Linked DNA regions of Arabidopsis thaliana. The protein of the gene in region 1 interacts with the protein of each later gene in a pairwise test. Each region holds a gene or a part of one and is shown on either strand. Other genes may lie near its edges.

Region 1 (4,160 bases):
TTTAAGTCAGATTTATTATATGCAGATTTATTATTTTTAGATTTTGTTTTATTTTAATTTATGTGGTACAGTCACCTGAAGAATGACCCGCTTTCTCCAATCTGCTAGAAGATGACCCGCTTTCTCCAATCTGCTAGAAGATCTTGGAGTCTTACGCGTTTCTTTCTCCCTTTTCTCGCTTTCCCTTATCTCTCGCTCATGTAATGTTAGAGCGGACTGCTTAACTCGCTCTTCTAGATTTTTATTTTCTGAAGTTACCTTTGTAAATACTTTTCCTCTTAATTGGGTAACCAATTATGGAGTTTCTTTTTAATTAATGTATGGTTGAAAGAAAAAAAAAATATTTTGTTTTATTTGGAAACTGAATAATAGAACCACATAGATAATTTGACCCAAAACAGAAGAAGATAGAATAGACAAAAATGAGAAACCTACATATTGAAAAGTCACTAAAAAGACAACTATATCATTGCTCATATATGCATTTTAAACTTAGATTTAATTTAGGGATTATTCACTAAGATCTGATTACAATTATATCTTATTACCTTAGTATACAAAATTATCTATTATGAAAATTCAATGGATTGCATTGACTTTGTTCTGATGACAATTACAATCATAAAATTGAATAATATAAACCGATTAGGTTAAAAATTTACAAGAAAAGAATAAGAAATTACAAAAATATGTATTTGGAAACAAGTAAAAAACTAAAACTAAAATAGACTAATATTTTCTTCTAATTTCATTTCCAAAAATCATAATCATAGCAGAAAATATAATAGCTTATCAAATATACTCCACAACATATTTGTTCACCTTTGGTTTTCGAAGATTTTTCAAATCATAAAACAGACCAAAAAACACTCATGGAGGAGAGTCTTAGACCAGAGATAAAAATTCCAATGCTTGTAATGACTGTTATTAAAGGAAATTGAACTGATTTCTCTAAAGAATAATATGATTTTCATTTCTTATAAAAAACAGCTTACAGAAGAAATACATGATCCAGGCTCGAACAAGCCTGAAGCCAACAAGCCTTGAGAATTTCATGTCATAGATCACTTACTTGCTAGTTTCACAAGATGTTTTGTTCAAAACCCGAAACGGTAATTGCCACTTCATATTTTATTCTTTCCACCATGTGAAACTGCAACCAAGTCTTCAACTTTCACTGGTTTATGCAGCTGCAGACAAACCATTGTTCTCCATCAAGTTAGGAACAGAAAAACTTATGAGCTAAGCCAACAAGAGATGGATGGAACTATACACTCACCGCTTCTGCAATGCTAAACCAATGAAAAGAGCGAAAGAAAGTATCGTCCTTTGAAGGAAGACTATCGTGATTCCAGTATGTCAGGTTATTGAATTTCGCCTTCACTTCCCAACACTGGTTATCTTCTGTGGGCATAGAAGCTTTTCTCTTTCCATTAGCATTCAAGTTACTCGCTTGTCTAAGCACAAAGCCTGAACATGTCAAACACAAACGAATTGTCAATAACCAAAACATAAAATTCTTCAACACCATAATGATACCAATAGTAGCAGATTCTTCAGGACATGTCAAAACTCTCTAACTAAAATCTCCATCAACAGGAATGTGTAACATTCATCCAATCATACTTTGATAAACATCCGTAAGAAATCAAAAGTTTGCAACTTTTTCTCAGTAAGAAAAAAAAGGTACCAGAATAGCCACTAGGGAGTGAGATAGTTGCTCCCTGCAACTTCCTTCCTCTGAAATGAGCTTCTTCCGTTTTTACTCCATCGATTTCAACATCTACAAATTCAACAGCTTTCCACATTAATCTCACTATAGAATACAACACATAAGTGAAAACCAGAAATACATAAACATACAAGTGTTGTTTGTTACCGCTAGATTTAGGCTTGAAATAGTGGGAAACTTCAACAGGACCATCAAATCTAATGCAGCAAGGGAGCTGGTGAACTTGACTGCTGAGATCCACAATGGAGTTTTCATCTGCAGCAGCTCTAAAGTCTATGGTTCCCATCAGAGCCCACTTGTATCAATTCCTCAGATTCCTTCTATACCATAATTAGCCAAAGTTAACAATTTGGACAATGGTTAAATCCCAAACCCATAAAACACTAGTCAAATTGGTATGAGCAATCGTCTTATAACAGTAGAAAATAACCTAATCTACCAAAATTTGATTCTCTGTTATATCAATCCATAAAGTATCAATTTTGCTACCTCGAAGATCATAGTCAAATGAACCCAGGAGAGAAATATCCCTCCAGTCCCAGATTTTGAGTTTTAGTTCGAACAAAACTCGAAAATTTGGTGACGAGAATTAAACTCTACCAATACAGAAGAGTAGAGAAGAAGAAGCAAATAAAACGGAAATCACAAAATGCCAAACACAAGTCTTACATTACAAAATCAAGCAAAAGCGCACGACGGAGATTGAGAGAATTGGTCTCTGAGAGAAAACTGCTAATTTGTGGTTTTCCCAAGGTGGGTTCTAAAATGGTCTGAATGTTTGATTTTTTTTTTTTTTTCACTGAATGTTTGATTATATTTACTTATATTTATACTGAAACAATTTAAATTATTTCTCTTAAACACATTTTTTTTTTATGGTTAGTGTTTTTCTTGATAGATTATTGTACTTCATTTTCGGACATCCAGGCTTGTAAAAAAAAGCATGCATAAGTTTTTATATAATCATGTTTTACGGGTCAATTACCAAACTTGAGTTTCTCTTGATGATTTCTACTGGTAATGGTTGACATATAAGAAGAAAGATAGTGCAGGATCCATCACTGGACTGGAGATAATCATTAATCACAATCTCCTTTTACACGTGATCACTCTACTAGTCACTAAAACCTGAATCCATTTACTAATGAGAGTAATGGCTTAGTCAATATGGTTACTACCTCTAGAGAATTTGAAATTTTAATCACTTGAATTGAACATAAGATCATTTATTCTTGTAATATCAATGTCAGAGATTGGATCTATAGGCCTGTCTTCACCTTCCTCCATCCCAGCAGCAAATTCACCAGGTTCTCTACTGTACTCATCTGCCATACCAAACAAACAAACATAACTAGAATTATCATCCTAAGCAAACTCCCAAAACCACGCCCTGCAGATCCAACATTTCGAAGCATTCTAGCTCTAGCTATTGTAATGACACAGCGAGCACTTACTTGAGAAAACAGATTTTTAGGAAACAATTTCTCATATCTCCAATAACATCAGATGAGAGGAAATTAAAGAGCGGTGCGGGCACTCACCAAACAAGGTATTGAGAGAGGTTGGGGGTGGAGTGGCGATGAAGTTGAGACCAATGTAAAAAGCCAAAGCTAACATCAGAGTCACCATCAAATACGTTGGCATAGCCAATACCCAATACCTACTAGGGTAGTAATGGATTCCTATAGACTCCAACAACTTATCTGGAACATATGCCCATACCAAGAAGATGACTGTGGCAACAACAGTCGATATCGATCCTACGAAACCGTACACCTCTGAGGGTTTAGGTCCATGCACTTCTGATGCTCTAAATGAAGATGACCTTCTACTGTCTGTATCTTGGAAACCAGGCTTTTGCTTATTTCTCTTCGAGAAGCTTAAAACTCGTCTTGGACTACTCACTGAATGAGCTTCTTCAATGTTTTGGTCAAAGGAAGAGACTGAGAAATGAAAGAAAGATAATCAGTTGTTGGTTTTTCTCTCCTTGTCTGCTGTAACTAGATATCAATTATGAAGATTGTAAATAGATTCTGTACAGATCAAGATAGACCAATTTGAAGGACTACATATAAACGAATTAAAATGAAAACTTTATTAACCTCACTTAGTGGAAGCTAATGAGGACGATATTGAAACTAATCACCTAACGAAACATGATTGAAAACATTAATCTAGACCAGTTAAATAGCGTCTCCATCAAAACTAAAGACTAATGGTAGAAGATTCAAATCCATCACGTTCTAGTGAGATTCAAGGGGTTATCAATGAAAAGATCGTACCTTTAGCCGGAGACATGGCTCGAAATGATTCTTCACACTAGAAATCTGTCTCAGGAAAACGAAAATCAGTTAAGGATCGGACAAAAGAAATGTAGGGAGATATCGAGAGACAGATTGCAGAATCGAGACACGAACCTGGAGAGGTG
Region 2 (5,244 bases), on another chromosome or scaffold:
TCATGCCTGAGGTTTGTTGCCTTCCACATTTTCTGTTTGAGTTTCAGTTACTTCACTCTATATAAGTCGCGATTATATTCCGTGTAATTTTTGTTTGAAGCAGGGGTCGAAAACGCATATGGGAGGCACTATGAGGTTAGGCTCAAGAAGAACTTATTTTCATTCTAAGGACTCCAAATCAGCAAGACTGTAAGCACGAAGTTCTTTCTCCACCCAAAAGAGTTTCATCTTTATGCATCTTTGAGCTTAACCTATATATTATGATGCGTTTGAATGTTTCAGATATGGGAACAAAAGTTTTGTAGATGAAAGACACCGACACAGATATGAGGTATTTAAGCATCCGACACAGTTTTGTGGCAGCTCTCAGAGTATACAAAAAAAACGCATCTCTTTGACATTTTAAGCTAAAACAAGATGCTTTCTTACAGGTGAATCCAGCCATGGTTCCACGTTTTGAGAGCTCTGGACTCACATTCACAGGAAAAGACGAGACAGGGCAGCGAATGGAGGTAAAAACGGATCTTTTACACCACAAAAAATTTCATCTTCTTGATTATAATTCTTGACATTTGAAAATACAGATCATTGAACTGCCTAACCATCCGTTTTACGTCGGAGCTCAGTTCCATCCCGAGTACAAATCAAGACCCGGAAAACCATCTCCTCTGTTTCTAGGTGAAGAGAAACATAAAAATAATGCAAAAGCCCTCGGTTTCTTTCTTCGTGTAAGCACATACCTTAACTAAAACCTTTTTTTGAATTAAAAATTGCAGGACTAATTGGAGCAGCTAGTGGAGAACTAGACACTGTTCTGCTACAAAGCTACCAAGAAACCGTCGTTCCACGTTCTCTACCCAACGGAAAACTAGAGAGAGTTTACTGGAAAGGTGCAGCGAAGAAGCCAGTCAGTGTTGTGTACAGTTTATGTGATCGTGTCTACTCGTGAACACCGTATCTGCATCAACAATGACTTCTCTCTAAAAAAGCTATTTATCCGGAATTTTTAACATGGATTTCTTCACCTGTGGAGGGAGAGAGAAGGCAATGAGTTTGTACAGTTTGAAGATTGGCTTTTTATGAGATGCTTTTCTTAAGATTATGAAGTAGAAGATGAACACTAAGCACAAGCAGCATTAAAACATATATTACCTTTGTCTTTTGTAATGGGTAGTATTTAAAGAGAGTCTTGGGATTGACTCTCTGTCTCCGTTGCTGTGTTTCTTAGATTCTTATGTAGTAGTATTAATCAGTAGCTTTTTCCTTTTGCTCTTTTTTTTTTTTGGGTTGTTATGGTTTAAACATTTCCAGAGAAGTACCGATGTTTTTCCGGTACATAGTTTGATTTCTCTGTATGTTAATGTAGCCTTTTCTCTGTTATTTGAATGGTTATAAAACTAGTTCTCTTTTTACTTGTGTTTTGATTTCACAAAATGGTGCATCTCTAGAAGGTCTTGTTGTATGTCCTTTCTTGAAGTTGGTGAAAATGCAAGTTTCTCGACGGTTTTGTTTAATCCGTTGGACTTGTCGTGCTAAAAATGTCTAGTTTCTTAGCGAAGAGACTAAACCAACTCAAACAAAGCGTTTGAGACTTAAGCGGGCGTTTCTTTTTAAGTTGTTATGGGCCTAGTCTTTTTTGGTGATAGCGCAGGCCCATATTTAAATGCGCGCGCTACTTCGGTTATGGCGCCAATCTGGTGAATATAATCGTCGCTTCTCTGTTTGATCCAAATCTTTTGGGGTTGAATATTGTACACCAACTGTTCGATGAAATGTCTTACAGAGATTTCGTCCTGATTCATTTACCTCACTAATTGCGAGCCTTCTTGCCGTCGTCACGGTATGCTACCTAATTGGTGTTAAGGGTTGTCGTAATCTTCAATCTTTTCTCGCCTAGCTCTCGTTTTAGGCTTTTGTAAAGTTTACTTCAGTTTTAGGAAAGAGTATCGTCTTCTATGAGTTTGATATAGCTTGTACTTGGCTCGGCTGAATTATGGCTCTTTAACCCTTCCTTGGGACTTTTGTCTTATTGGTGTCAGAATTCGTAGAAATTTAGGTTTGCTAAAGCTTGAAGATGAGTTCTACTGTTTGGTGGGAAGGAGCTGAGAAGACACGAGTTCTCATAGCCCCAGGTTCTCTCTTTAACTATACATTCTGTTCTGAGACGGATTTGCAAATTAGATGCTGCAATGGTGTATGAATGTCTATGAAAAATGTTGGTCAATGTTTATATATCAATGATTGGCGAAGTTAGATTTGAATAAGAAATGAGCTTTAGTTATATCCGGTAAGCTTATGTAGACTGTTTAGTTCGTTAAATAGATATACTCATCATAATTGAAAGGATGTGCTGATGACTATTTAAAGTTGAATCTTTCCTTGGCTATGATAGTTGGAAGTCTTAGATGCTTTAAAGAAGAACTTGACCATTTTTTTGCTTCATATGTAAAGATTCAGGTTGTGGCGGAAACAAACCCGGAGAACTGTTAACACTCCGCCATCCAAAATCAGGTAATGGGATGTTGATGATTGTCAGGCTTGCTATGTTGTGTTTTGGGGAAAACTTCAGCTAGTAACATCTTTTGTGGTTTGGTATCTTTGCTTCTATGCCAGAAAATGGAACATGCTTCCTTTTTAATAATGAGATGCTTCAAGAACTTCAGTGGTTTAAGCAATCTTATGGTTCTTGGTTCTTGGGAGATTACATATCTGAAGGTAAATGCTAAATTTCGAATCATAATAATATGTGAGCCAGCATCAATGTTTATACAAATATTATATTCCTTATGTTCATGACGGTTTACTATTTACAGATGGAAGCTTATATATGGCCACTCCAGTTGATCCTGTTTTCATATTGTTGCCTATTTTCGACGAAGCAAGAATGAAGGTCACTCTATGATCCTTTGCTCTTCTCAATTCATTATGTCCTGTCTGATTTCCATTTCTCAGAAATGTTGATAGTGTTCTTAAATTGTCGATCTGTAGAAAGGTGAAAATTCTGGAAAGTTCAGGCAACTAGATGAGATTTTATTTGTGGAAGGATATCCTGGATATCAACATTTGTTGTCACTTGCAGAGAAGTGTATGGAAATCGTTTGTCAAACTCAAGGTACATTCCCACTGTTTAGTTATGGAAGTCATAGTTGCACACACTTATCGAAACCATAATTTTCAGATTTCCTGGTCTTTCTTCTTGTAGAATTTTTTAATCCTTCTTATATGCATATTATCTGTATGTTTCTCATCACTCTTGAAGAGCTTGGTGATCTCTAGTTGTTCAATTTCCTCATTCTCTTGTTCTCTTCTTGCAGAGGTTGGATCGATGAAGTTCTATCGGCTTGATAACTCGAAAGTCTTAGCTTGGTTAAGTTGTAAGGTATGCTCTTGTCAGAAGATTATTTATTACAGTCTTCTCTACAATCCAGTTGAAATTTTCATGATATATTCGCCATTTGAAAGTGATACATGGGTCTGAATCACTATGTTTTGTGCATCACATATGTTTCAGGGATGAGGCATGTCTAATGCTTATATATCTTTTTGGGTATTGCCTAACGAAAATTATTTATTTGCAGAGAAGCTGATTTAATGCTGCCTGCACTCTAATTGTTTTTTGTTTGGCATTCTATAATTCTTGTCTTTCTGCATGGATTTGAAGAAAAGAGAATGCAAGTAAGCTCGTATCTGTTTTATTTAGATCCTTAACGTGCCTGCACTTTTATGAACGCAGATCTACTGTTTAAAGAATTCTCTACCGGAATTGGACAAAAACTATGCAGCTCAAGATGAGAAACAAACATGTAAGTCCTAGAACAGAGATCATTTTACTTGCTTGAAGTTGACCCTTAAAGAGGTGATATGACATGTCTTTTCACTGATATCACCTTTAATCTGTACAGTGGTAGATTCCGTCTCAATTGTAGGAGAGTACCTGAAGACCGAGCCTTGGTTGAAGCTTCTATATGATCATCTTGGGTACTTTTTCAAAATTAAAATATGAAATCTTCAACCAATCAGCTAAAGCGAATCATATAGCTCCTGACAGAAGCATTCATTTTGTCTGGTTTATTTTACAGACTCAAATTTGTTGACCCGACGATGAAAGAAACCAATATGGAGAATCTTCCAACTGCAAATGAGAATAACATGGCATCATCAAATTCAATACAGGTGTGTGTATGCAAAAACTGTAGGCAAGAGTTCTAAGTTCCATATATTTGTGTTCCTTGTTCTTGGTTACTAACTGTCCTTGTTTACATTTGTTAGGAGAAAGCGAATAAGAAGCCAGGAAAACAGACAAAGCAAGCAAAGGTAGAGACTGGATCAAAGAACATAAGGGATATGTTTTCAAGGGCTTGTAAGAAAAAATGCTGAATGTTCAAAATCGGTTAAAACTAGCCAACTATTTATGATTATTCTATTATGCTATCGGATGATCTTCGCTTAGCTATAACATCTTGAACAAAGACCCAACTCCCAAATGTGTTTATTCTATATTTCTAGCAAATGTCGTGAGAATACATGAGAATCATTGTAATTTGTAAACTAAAGATTGTAACAATTATTACAATTACAAGAAAATTCAGGCTCAATATGAATTTAGAACCGCATGATCATCCATTTATGAGGTTCAGTTCCGGGAACTGCTGCCGTTAAGGTTCTGGAAAAGCTCGGGAAGATGGGCATTGGTGAGTTTGGTTCTCTTGCTGATCTCTTGTTTCTTCTTCTTCTTATCCTTTGGTTTATTCGATATGCCATGCGTCTGTGCAGCAGCTCTCCTCTCTGCAGTGTTTGTCGCCGGCTTCAAACCGATTTTCAGCAGCTCCTTCTCCACGTCCAGCATGTCGTTCGGGATGTTTATGTCACGGAATAGAGCTTTAAATTCGTCATCAACCTTAATCTCACACTTGAAATCATTTGGGTATGCAATGTCCTCTTGTGAATTTGATAGCAAGTAGATGTCCCCTGAAGCACTCAGAGCCTGCAAAATACAAGACAGTCTTGAAACTTTCAATACCTTCCTGGTTTGGTTTCAAAGAGTAACATATATTTTCCCCATCTGCTTAGCAAAATACAGCAGTTCCTACAACTTTTGACGCCGCAGAAAACACAATATAAGACAGGATCCCGGTATGGTTTTCAGTCATACTCCACCTAGAAATAAGCTGTCTAATTGATTGTCCAACCAAAAACCAATGCTTAGAGAACTTTCATTTCTCATGCCACCATTCATATCAGAAT

Evidence for each region.
Region 2: the proteins of AT2G39440 (region 1) and AT4G20325 interact in a two-hybrid assay, tested with the Arabidopsis thaliana proteins (one study listed by BioGRID).

Annotation. Positions count from the first base shown.
Region 1 is NC_003071.7:16,467,096-16,471,255, forward strand, and holds AT2G39440 (ribonuclease H2 subunit C-like protein), read right to left. Parts: upstream 2,534-4,160; 5' UTR 2,402-2,533; exon of another isoform or gene 2,222-2,401; intron 2,053-2,221; 5' UTR 2,019-2,052; coding exon 1,880-2,018; intron 1,784-1,879; coding exon 1,691-1,783; intron 1,471-1,690; coding exon 1,280-1,470; intron 1,191-1,279; coding exon 1,125-1,190; 3' UTR 735-1,124; downstream 1-734. Other genes in the region: AT2G39445 (Phosphatidylinositol N-acetylglucosaminyltransferase, GPI19/PIG-P subunit), read right to left, coding at 2,930-3,057, 3,274-3,675, 4,015-4,030.
Region 2 is NC_003075.7:10,978,050-10,983,293, forward strand, and holds AT4G20325 (ribonuclease H2 subunit B), read left to right. Parts: upstream 1-1,691; 5' UTR 1,692-1,840; intron 1,841-2,039; 5' UTR 2,040-2,074; coding exon 2,075-2,132; intron 2,133-2,451; coding exon 2,452-2,511; intron 2,512-2,613; coding exon 2,614-2,715; intron 2,716-2,813; coding exon 2,814-2,890; intron 2,891-2,988; coding exon 2,989-3,112; intron 3,113-3,314; coding exon 3,315-3,379; intron 3,380-3,578; coding exon of another isoform or gene 3,579-3,587; exon of another isoform or gene 3,588-3,733; coding exon 3,734-3,803; intron 3,804-3,902; coding exon 3,903-3,978; intron 3,979-4,079; coding exon 4,080-4,173; intron 4,174-4,269; coding exon 4,270-4,377; 3' UTR 4,378-4,597; downstream 4,598-5,244. Other genes in the region: AT4G20320 (CTP synthase family protein), read left to right, coding at 1-11, 104-189, 283-331, 432-512, 585-678, 777-949; AT4G20330 (Transcription initiation factor TFIIE, beta subunit), read right to left, coding at 4,634-4,984.